Oryzias latipes: one gene and its partner. The protein of the gene in region 2 purifies or fractionates together with the protein of the main gene of each other region. This does not show direct contact. Links are inferred from orthologs where the notes say so. Each region holds a gene or a part of one and is shown on either strand. Other genes may lie near its edges.

What was found.
Region 1: the proteins of wdr5 (region 2) and cct7 purify together in Homo sapiens (affinity purification with mass spectrometry; 3 studies listed by BioGRID and IntAct, with this or other methods). This does not show direct contact. The link is inferred for Oryzias latipes from reciprocal best matches to the Homo sapiens genes WDR5 and CCT7.

What each region holds. Positions count from the first base shown.
Region 1 is NC_019876.2:13,089,178-13,094,505, forward strand, and holds part of cct7 (T-complex protein 1 subunit eta), read left to right. Parts: intron 1-12; coding exon 13-119; intron 120-197; coding exon 198-376; intron 377-451; coding exon 452-623; intron 624-707; coding exon 708-872; intron 873-1,445; coding exon 1,446-1,634; intron 1,635-2,738; coding exon 2,739-2,836; intron 2,837-4,348; coding exon 4,349-4,481; intron 4,482-5,328. UniProt on the Homo sapiens protein: Component of the chaperonin-containing T-complex (TRiC), a molecular chaperone complex that assists the folding of actin, tubulin and other proteins upon ATP hydrolysis.
Region 2 is NC_019870.2:23,024,236-23,030,685, forward strand, and holds the start of wdr5 (WD repeat-containing protein 5), read right to left. Parts: upstream 3,584-6,450; 5' UTR 3,393-3,583; intron 2,757-3,392; 5' UTR 2,733-2,756; coding exon 2,652-2,732; intron 2,457-2,651; coding exon 2,348-2,456; intron 1,193-2,347; coding exon 1,119-1,192; intron 997-1,118; coding exon 907-996; intron 1-906. Other genes in the region: bromodomain-containing protein 3, read left to right, coding at 3,949-3,972.

The DNA of each region.
Region 1 (5,328 bases), on a different chromosome or scaffold from region 2:
TGCATTCTCCAGGAAAGGCCACGATTTCCAACGATGGCGCTACCATCCTGAAGCTGCTGGATGTGGTTCACCCTGCTGCTAAAACCCTGGTGGACATCGCTCGTTCGCAGGATGCTGAGGTGAGTAGAAGTGGTATTCTGAAGCAGCTTTAAAATTGAAATTGACTTTTAAATGAAGGCGCCTCTCTACATATACAGGTTGGAGACGGCACCACGTCCGTCACCCTCCTGGCCGCCGAGTTCCTGAGGCAGCTGAAGCCGTTCGTGGAGGAGAGTCTCCACCCTCAGACCATCATCCGCGCTTTCCGCACTGCCACCAACCTCGCTGTCAGCAAGATCAAAGAGATCGCCGTCTCTGTGAAGAAAGACGACAAACAGTGAGCTGCCGATGGTTTTTGCGCAGCTGAGACTCAGTCCATCGTGTTTGCTGATGTTTACCTCCATCCTGTCAGAGAGCAGAGGCAGCTGTTGGAGAAATGTGCAGCGACCGCCCTGAACTCCAAACTGATCGCTGGGCAGAAGGAGTTCTTCTCTAAGATGGTGGTGGATGCGGTCATGTCTCTGGACGAGCTTCTGTCTCTGAAAATGATTGGCATCAAGAAGGTCCAGGGAGGAGCGCTGGAGGTGGGTGTTCTTTCTCGTCTCTGAGCGTTTGGTTTCTAGCTGGCTGCTTTTTTGACTCCCTTGTGATCATTTGTTTGCCCGCAGGATTCCCAGTTGGTCTCTGGCGTTGCTTTCAAGAAGACGTTCTCCTACGCTGGCTTTGAGATGCAGCCCAAACGCTACGATAACCCGAAGATCGCTTTGCTCAACGTGGAGCTGGAGCTGAAAGCAGAGAAGGACAACGCTGAAGTTCGTGTCAAGTCTGTGGAGGTATGAGGCTGCTACAGCAAATCCTCTTTAAGCTGTGTTCATACATGTGACATGTGTTCAAGAACTCGCTCAATTTAGCTCATGATGTTCACACTGGACAACCAGGAAGGGGCTTTTTTCTTCTTTTACTGTTTACTCGCGCATCTCCACCACCTACAGTTGGGAGAGGCTCTGTGTGAAATGTTGAAGTGGTGCAAATCTCATGAATCTTCTTCCAGGCTTTTTATTTCTCAGCTCTATTGCAATATATGAAAGACTTGGTGTCACATAATTTGGACCAGGCACAAATCACAATTATCGATTTTCTCGGCACTTCCTTAAATTAAAAGGGATGCCGTCCATACGTCTCTACCAAATCCTGATCGGTTGAAGTTTGATGGGGTTTATCTTTCAACATGCCCATAAAAAGTTTTAAAAACTTGTGTAGCAACGTTTGAACGTGAGTTTTAAATGAAAGCCTGAAATGTGCGTTTACGTTGATCTCTATTTGGAAGTGGTGGCTTGAACGCCCATTGCTGAGAGCAATTTCCTTTCCTGCTTGGTGAAGAAACATTTCGTCCACTTCTTCTGCAGGAATATCAAGCCATCGTGGATGCAGAGTGGAACATTCTGTACGACAAACTAGAGAAGATCTATCAGTCTGGAGCCAAGGTTGTTCTGTCAAAGTTGCCCATCGGCGACGTGGCCACCCAGTACTTTGCAGACAGAGACCTGTTCTGTGCTGGCAGGGTGCAGGAGGAGGACCTGAAGAGGACGATGATGGTGAGACAAAAACAATGTTTTCTGAGGTGTTTTGACGGCAAGACTCTGCTTTATTGAATCAAAAAAGAACCTGAAATCTCGTTTTAGGTTTTTTTGCTATAATGTTCTTTTGCCCTCCCAGGTTTTTGATGTGGAATACTGTTGGGATTATTTGAAGGCCCACTCCGATGAAAACTGTGTTTTTAAAATGTTCTTGAGGCATTTTTCTCATGATAGAGGACATGTAGAAAGAAAATTAAGCTTAAAACTGCATTACTGAGTATTTCTTTCTTCAAACAAATCGGGAGCAGACGAGACAAGTGCAGTTTGATAAAGGTGACGTAGAAAATACGCTGAGCGGGCCACTTCCTGCTCTGCTCCATTCAGATGCATCCACTTGTAGATAGATCCATGTACATCTTCATTTTCCTTGTCTGAGCTGGCATCTGGATCAAAACTATATGGCTGGATAGCTCCAATACTGGTCGCCCTTTTTTTGCAACAGTAATGTGAGGTTGGGGTTATGAGGGGCTGTAAGCTACCGGGAAAGCACGTAAACAGGGAGCTCTCAGTTATGGGTGACGGGAAAGGAGGCGGGTTACTCTGCACCAACAGTCCTGCTCACACCTCAGAGGTGAATTTCTTGTGAACTACTGCCTGCCGCTCTGCAGAAACTGTTTTAGAAACCACACAGGTTTTTGTCTTTTGGGCTAAAAACGGCATAATCTTAACTGAAAGACCATTAAGAACAATCTTACAATAGATCAAAAGATGCTAAATGGTAAATGGCGTATACTAATATAGCGCTTTTCTTCCTACAAGCACATAGCGCTTTACAGTCACAGACCCATTCACCCAGTCACACACACATTCACACACTGGTGGCGGCTCCGCTGCCAAACATAGGCGCCTGCCTACCACCAGTGGCAAGGTGGGGTTCAGTGTCTTGCCCAAGGACACTTTGACTCATGGGCATGCAAGGCGGGAATCGAACCTGCAGTCTTACGATCATGGGTCGACCGCCCTACCGCTGCACCACGGCCGCCCCAAAAGATGATCTGAGTGGGTTTTTAAAGACGGTCAGACAGCAAACACGCTTTGATCTGTGTTGTCATGTGATGTTAGGCTTGTGGCGGCTCCATCCAGACGTCTGTGGGAGCGCTAACAGAGGATGTGCTGGGACTTTGTGAAGTATTTGAAGAGGTTCAGGTGGGAGGAGAAAGGTGAGAAAAATGAGTTGACTTCAGATCCATCTGTGCATTTTGTTCTTCAAATACCTTTTTTAAAAAAATTCTATATGCAAATGGGTAGATTTTGTGAACTGCAAATGACTGCATTTTTATGCTTTCAAAGTAGATTTGGCAGATGTTGCATTTAAGGTTGGGCGATGTCCCTTAAATTGGCAGTTGACGATGTTTGCAGTAAACCATTGGGATGGACGATGATATCATCGGGGGGGATTTTAAACTTTTCGTTATTATATAATTATTATCTGTTATTTAACTTTATTGCTTTATTTATTTTATTTCCCCAACTACTGACTCATCCACGATGATCCAGTATAAACTGAGGGAAGTGACTAACAACAACAACAAAAAACAAAATAGAAAAGAAGTAGTCCGCTCCTGCACTTGATTAGTCAAGTGGACCGAGCGACCGTGTCTCTGGGCAGAGCAGACGGACTTTGTGTTTGAGGTGAAGGGAGGATGCTTTGTTACGTGTGCGCTATGATTGGGAGACTTCGGACTGCCATCCGTCCCGCAGCTCTAGGTGAACGAGCTACTGAGCTCAGGAGAACCGGGTGTCCCGGTAAAAGTGTGTGTCCGGGCAGAGCTCGGACCGCCAGCTCACACAGCGGCTTTGGGGCGGTGTGTGAGCTTTTCAAAGCAGAAATGCCGCTCAGTCCTTAAAAACCGTTCAATCACGTGGATTTGTGTTTCCAGTCGTGTCCCGAAAAAACAAAGGCTGATGTTATTCCCACATATTTACGTTCAGCCAAGCTGGAGATTGCAGCATTTCCCGCATGGATTTTATGTTCATCAAAGGTTAAATGTTGTTGTTAACCCGTGTTAGCCTCTCCTAGCCCTGGCTTCTTCCGGCTCTGTTCTTCTACAGAAAAAGCACTGACCACATGGATTAAAATTAAAATGATGACCAAACAAGTGCTTCATAATAACCGTCACATTAATAAAAGCACGTTTAGTAGATCGTTTTGTATATCACAGAGCTGCCAGATATCTATGTATGTAGCCTCTCATTGGGACTCATTCCCTCTTCCGGTATTTCAAACACTACTGCGCATATATGAATGATTTATTCTGACCGAAAGTGTGACCATGTGAACATTTGTTATAATCGGAAAAAGTTTTTCTGGGCCCATGTACACGATTGAATTCTAATCCGACCATTTAGCTGATCGAGATATTTTGTACATGTAATCACGGCTTATGGTGTCGACTCGCAGCGTGGCGGCGGCGTGGCATCACGATGGTGTCTCTCCATCGTGATGTCAGTCAGCCGTCATGATGGATGATGGTATTGTCGGTCGGCACAACCCTTGTTGCATCCACGATTTGCTGCTTTTGATGAAAAAAAAACAGTTTTAGTTTGACGTTTTGGTTTCTGTGGCATAATATAAATGTATTTTTCTTGTAAAACTCTTGTCAGTTTTTTAAATGAAATAATTGAGAATGAACATGCAATATGACAGGTTTACTTCCTGTTTTACTTTGAAGGTACAACTTCTTTAAGGGGTGCCCGAAAGCGAAGACCTGCACCATCATCCTCAGAGGCGGAGCTGAGCAGTTCACAGAAGAGACGGAGCGATCGCTGCACGACGCCATCATGATTGTGCGCAGAGCCATCAAGGTGAGTTGGAGCAGAAGAGACATCAGCTTTGGTCATCAATATCCTCGGTTGTCAGTTTCTTTTTTTTCTTATTTTGTGCAAAATGCAGTTTTTATTTTTTTAATCATTTTTTCCTCCAGTTTGATTTTAGAGTAAAATACATCGTTGTTTTGGTCTTGACTTCCTGTTGGTCCTGCTTTCTTAATTCTTGGCATGTTTGTCAAATTTAAATGTTTCAAATCCTGAAATTCAGTGTTGGACAAACATACTGCGAGATTTTGCCGAGCTTTTGTCTGCACTTGAATTATTTTATTTTTATCCTGTAGTGTCTTTAGAGATTTTGAATTGTGGCTTCAACCTTTCTCTGGGTGTTTTATGCTGATGACACTGCTGTTTTCTAACAAAGAAATTATCCTGGAATTCCTTTCATTTCAACTAGAAATCATGCATATAAATGATTTTAAAATTTATTTGTATAATAGTGCAAAAGATAAGTATTTGTTCAATTATAAACGTTCCCTTCAATATACGTAGTAATGCAATGCTGGTTGTCAGTGAGGTCAAAGGTTTCCTGTAGGTTATCAGGTTTGCACTGTCGCTGTTATTCTGGTCCATTCTTCCATACAGATCTTCTCAACAGCTGGGCTGTTGCTTGGCAACACAGACTTTCAACTCACTCCTAGATTCTCTAGACCACTGTAGAACCTTTAAATGCTCTTCATGCTGGAAGATCCTCAGCTCTCACTGCTGGAAGGATGTTTTTGTCAAAAATCTCACCATATATGGTGATCTTGTGTGAAGCCCCAGGTGAAGGGAGTTTGTCAGTGATCTTCTGCTTCTTCCATTTTCTTATAATTGCTCCAACAGC
Region 2 (6,450 bases):
GAGGAGCTACCACCAGATGTTTTCAGCCTGATGGCTGCATGGAGCGGTGTCTGTGTGCATCTCATGACAATGCATGGAAGACATGGAGGATGTTTAGAGATCAGAATGAGTTCTTTAGAGAAGCTCTACAGAAGCATCTGAGCCACGTCTCATCGATCAGAGATTCTCCAGCTCCACTCCACTCCTGCTGCAGAAGCTGCTTCTGAATGACAGCCGGCTTCCACTGTGTCTCCACGTCTCTGTGAGCCCGTTTAAAGAAGACCCCAGCAGGCTGCCCCCAATGCTGCTCCCGTCTCTGCCAACCTCCTGGGGTTGGCGTAGCTGATCGACTCAGTGAGCATGTCCATGTTTTTATATATATTATGTATGTAGTGGAGCCTTTTTTCTGTAAGAGACATACGACTGCTACTGTTGTGATTGCTGTGTTGTCAGAACAAAATCCTTAATAAAAAGTTGTGTGGGGGGAAAAAAGCTCACATTGCTTAAAAATACAGACTGGAGAGGAAATGGCCGCTTCTTTGTTCAGCAAACTGTCAACAGCCGCAAAGCATCATATAAACAATGTCATCTAACACTCAAGACATTCATAGGCTAAAGCAGCCGTCTCCAACTGTGTTTACTTTATACGAGTGGATGAATCTGATTAAGAAAAGGGTGACTCCAAAAAAATGGCAGCAATAAAGTGGCATGAAAGCAGCAAAAATAGCTGTTAACAAAAATGAACAGTCCAAGATGCCTCTTCTCTGCCATCCTGAGTGAAGGTGAGTGAATGCTTGTACAACCTTTTACCCAGATGTCATTACTTAGGAAATTAAAAAGGGGAAATATACTAAATTAAAGGGTAAACAAGAATAAGTGCCAAAAAAATACGTTTTGGCTCCTAGAACAAGTGCAGAACCTTCTTACCGAGTTGACATCCCAGATTTTCAGGGTTTTGTCGTCTGATGCAGACACCAGCAGGTTGGAATCAGAGGACCAGGCCACATCAGAGATGCCCTGCAGGATCATGGGAAATAGTTCAGACACATAAGAAGGAGAAGGGCGCTTCTAAAATCTATTCCTCCCACAGGAAATCCAGAGAACATATCAGAGCAATATCAGAGTACAGTTTTACTCACAAGTTTGTGTCCAGATATGGTTTTCTCAAACTTGCCATCATACGCTCCCCAGATCTTGATGAGTTTATCAGCAGCTGGAACAAGAGAACATCAGTCAAATCTATGAATTACTGTCATCACATCAATTATGAAGCCAACACTACACACAAATGTAACACAGCATACAAATTGATCCAAATGACAAGTTTAATACATCTGATAAACAGAAAACTATATTTACTAGATTAGAACATTCTACGTTTAATTCTAATTTGGTTCTAGTTTTCTCTGATTATTTCTCCTTGACAAGTTCATTTTGGGGCTGGGGGCCTCAGTGAATGTTAACTTCTTAGTTCAACGTGTTCCCCACCTCCACAGCACAGAGGCACAGTGACGTATGTTAGTTGGATGGATTATGGGATATTGGAGCATCAGTGAACAGCACTTTATAAGTTTCTATTTTTTGGTTTTCCCAACAAAACTAAACACTGTTGGTTCAGAAAATAAATCATCATCAGTTTCAGCATGAAACTGTCACACTTTACCATCTTTAGCTGATATCTGTCAGTTTATATCCTCGAATTCCAACATTATTCTGCTGATTTAGAGTGATAATTACAATGCGTGAAGTTTATTTGTACTATATTCTACTATATTTATAAAGACAACAAATATGCCCAAACATTGTTCTTGAAAAGATAGAAAGATTTCCAAGTATTTGGATGCTGGTTACAGCCCTGGCATTGTCTTACCCTTTCACCCACCTATTTCATCTCTGAGACTAACTCTGGAGGCGGATCGGAGAATGGAACAAAATATGACACCATGGTGAAATGGGCCTTTTAAAGTCCAACGTCAGGGCAAAAAGCCAAAGGGGCAGAAAGGAATAACACTACTAAAGTGGCTTTAGTAAAAAAATATATATGTACATAACTACTTCACATGTTTTGTTCTAACAATTAATCCGAAAAATCATTTGAAATAAACTCAAGATTCCTAAATGTTTGTTTTTTTTCTCTCTCTTTTTTTTTTTACTTGTCCTGTCCAACAGCTGGGCAGGTAGATGAGAGCTGACGGCCTCTTGTTTAGATTCCTAAATGTTAACATTTTGTAAACTCTACATAGTTTTTTTTTTTCATTGAGTAAACTCCCTTTGAACAGGGTCAACATCAACCAATATAATGGTTTCATGTTGAGTACATTTTGAGACATTCATTGCTTAAAAGCCACACAGAGGAGGATGAACTCACATGAGCTGGCGAGCCATTCTCCACTTGGACTGAATTTGACAGAAGACACGGCTTTGGTGTGTCCTGCTAACGTGAACTTCAGGCTGTAGTTTGGCTTTGCAGGCGCAGACTGTGGGGGGGCACATTTAATGCCATTGGTAAGATAGAAAAGAAGTACATATCAACTCTGCTAAAACAAAAACCAAAATGCATTGTTCACCATTTAATCTTGTATTAATTGGAAAACAAAAGAAACAATTGATGCAAAGCTGCAGTTGCACAAGAACACGGCCCAGAGTACTCAGTCATTTTCTTATATCCAGACCTTGCTTTGGCTTGCAGATGCTGACTGCACAACTGGAGGTTTTGTGTCAGTCTCTGGTTTCTTGTCTTCGGTTGCCATCATGAAAAAAATAGCATCTACTGAGCACTGCAAGGAGACAGAAGAGCACACAAGTATTTCAAATTACATGCTTGCACAGCCCCTTCGTCAAATTTATTATACTCTCGTTTATAGTTTAACGTGTTGTAGAAATATTTTGTTTATTAAAAGGTAAAGTTGATGCATACAATTGCAATGTAGATTGTATAGCCGTATTGGCTAAATTAAGCGTTTACAAATTAGCTCGATGGCTAAAAATTTTAGCTAGCTCAGTTAGCTTCGGTACGCTGACGTATAAAAACTCTTTTTTCTTAACTGGCAAAACAAAAACATCGCGAAGTGGCATTTGATGTACATTAAAGTCAGCTTCCACATTTTTAACGTCAAAATGTTTACCATAAAGAAATAATAGGTGAAAACAGCATCATATAACAAAAGCGACGCGGAATACCTTCCTTTGGCGCAACTTCAGACAGACTTTATATATTTGTACTTGAAAAAAAGACGCGTTGCATGTTCAAATGGATATGAAATAGACGTTAAAAAATATAAAGTGCTAGATGTTCAGGAAAACTATCAGCACTATGTACATGCGGTCACTTGTTTTTAGCTATTGACAACCTGCCACAAAAGCGGCCCTCTACTCCTCAGACAATGAAGATTTACGCAAACGCTCATACTTACAGAAACGTTTTACAGATTCACCTCCAGATTTTTTTCCTCCACCGAAGAAAACACGATTAAAACCAGTCTGTTTTTTCGTAATATGATCCTAAACTTACAAAAAACTAATCTACCTGCCTCCTTGTATACGTTTGGCTGCGAGAAAACCAACGAAGAAACGAGGGAATGTAGTGTGCCAGTGCAATGCGCAGGCGCGTCACACACAGAAGTAACGGAAACCTGTGAGGATCAAGTATCGATGGCACGAGTTAGAATAAACGTCACAAAATGCAGTTTTCCCTTAAGACGTAAACATTTTGCAATTAATATTTCAATTTACCAGAAAAAAAGTTAAGTGAAGCAAAATATATAATTCTCTTTTGATAATAGTATTATCAAAAGAAAAATATGTCAGTGCAAAATATTTGCGTTTTTTGCCAAATGAAAACAGTGGACACTCCAGAACACTAGATGGCAGTATTCCCCTTTGACTTCTGGGCTGACGTGCCCAGACAAATAGACACGAATTGAATTGCCAGCCATGTAGGTGCAGCAGGTCGGGAGAGGAAGTTAGCAGATGGTGACTGACTTCGCCGTGGAGGTACTTGAAGCGCATACTTTTCTGTTCAAGCTTCGGTGTAAAGTTTTACTGTTTTTGAAGAGGAGCATTGCTTGAACTTTTATTCCAATTTAACAATACGAGTTGGTAAACAACTTGCCGCTACCCTCCCTTCCCGTTAGATGATGATCGGAGTTTTTTCTCGAAACGGATTAAAAAGAAAACTTAGGTGATTTTTTTAAATTGCTTAAATACCTGATATATATTATGACTAGTTAAAATAAAAAAGTCAGACTTTTTTTTCAATAACATTTTATAGCAGCATTTTTAGGTGTTGCAGAGTTAAAGAAATAAAGGATTTTCGTTCACCACCAGGCAAGAAAAACATTTCATTTGTGCACAGACTAGCTAATTATGATAGCTAACACGTTGGACGTTTCTTGACCTCGAAGAAAATATTGGTATTCATTTGCATTGTCTCTTCAGGAAGTCTGTGTGGTTTGACAAATAATTTTTTACAATAGTTGTTGGAAGTAACGTTTTGGGGACTACGCCTCCATCTGCTAGGATACAAAGCCCTTATTTAACTGAGTAAAACTTTGAGAGTTCGTGCACACGTGAAGCATTTCAGTATCCAGTAGAAGGCATTCCTCGCGCGTGTCCAACAACAACAGGGGTTCTTGTGGGTTAAAGTGATAAAACACGCGGTTTTTGTCACGTCCGCCCACTTCCGCCTGGCACGTTCTGCAGTTCTTAAAGACCCTTTCTGAGGAATGTGAAGGAGGGAATCTGCTGCAGTGGTTTTGGTTTGCTTTCATGGAGCTGTAGCTTCCCATGTTTACATTTTTAAGTTGGTTAATTACTCCAAAATTCACTTTTTATTTGTGGTTGTTTTAATTTTTATTACATTTTGCGTTTTTTGATCTTCTGCATAGTGGAAACATTAAAAAACAAACAAAACAGTAATAGATTACAACATTCATTATTATATTAAGGATGAATTAAAAAAGCATAAAATATCAAGGGCTGAGATAACTAAACAATTATGTACTTATAAGTTTACTACATAAATGAATATATTAAGCTGTAAGTTTACAATTCTGGAGGAATATCTGTGAATTGTCACAGAGGTAAAGTTAGCTATATATTCATACGATATAAAAATTCTTCTAAAGCTTTTAAGTCATTGGACCCAAATCCCTCTAGAGAATAAAACAGATTAACCACTATCAGTGACAGCTATTTAGATAAGCTTTCGAGTTTTTTTAGTGTCAAATTTTGTGTTTTTCTGCAATAGCTTTTAATTTATTGAACCCAATCACGCCAGATCTCTCTAGAATAGTAAAACGGATTGACCAATATTGGAGACAGCAGCTCACATTAGCTTTTGATGCTTTTTCTAATTTTAGTAAATTTCTTAGTCTAACGTTTTGCACTTTTCTTCAATAGCTTTAAGTTATTAAACGTTAAAAGTTATTAAAAGTTATTAAATTAAATAACTTAATTTGTTTTACTCCAAAATAACAAAATTAGCCACTATTGAGGGACATCTGTTTAGATTAGCTTTTAAGTTTTTTTTGGTTTTTTTCTCAGTTTTAGTTAATTTTTTAGTGTGTTTGCCTTTCTCTTCAATAGTTTTGAAGTTATTGAACCCAGTCACCCCAAATCACTCTAAAATAGTAAAACTGATAGACCACTATTGGGGACAGCACTTCACATTAGCTTATAATGCTTTTTCTAATGAGTTAATTTCTTAGTGTAAGTATAGTCTCAAGGCACAAGGCTGGGAAAGGTTACAGCAAAATCTCTGCTAGTTTGGAAGTTCCTACGAGTACAGTGGCCTCCATCATCCTTAACCCTTGTGCTATCTTAGAAGATCCCACCCGTATTTTGACGTGTTCTCCCAACCATGACAAAGGTGGAAAGATTTTTAGTAATCCATGGACACCAGTGAAGATCACAAATCATTGAAGAAAAAAGGTTCAGCGCATTGTCTAGTGGGGTCTAGATGACCCAACTCCCAATCTTAAAGTGCCTAGGATAGCACAAGGGTTACGGGGAAGAAGTTTGGTACCACCAGGACTCCACCTGGCCGGCCATCTGAGCTTTAGTCATTGAGGTGACCATTAACCGATGGTTACCCTGTCAGAGCCCCAGCCTTCCTCTGTCAAAGGAGAATTACCTTGCAGAAGGACAACAGTCTCTACAGCAATCAAGTATTTAGGCCTGTATGACAGTGTCCAGATGGAAGCCCCTCCAAAGGACGCTTCCCATCCAACCCGATGGATCTTTAAAGATACTGCAAACAGGGTTAGTGTGTCTGTGTGACACCTGTGTTGTAGAGTTTGCCAAATGTGTAAAAATGATTATGAATGTACAACATTTTTGGAATAGGGTTTAACCAAATTAGCAAATAGAAATTTGGAAAAACAATCAGAGAAAAATAATAAAAGATTATACCTTCTTCTCACAATTATCAGGGACGGGATAGCATGGAGACTGTATAAGCCAGGATGCTCC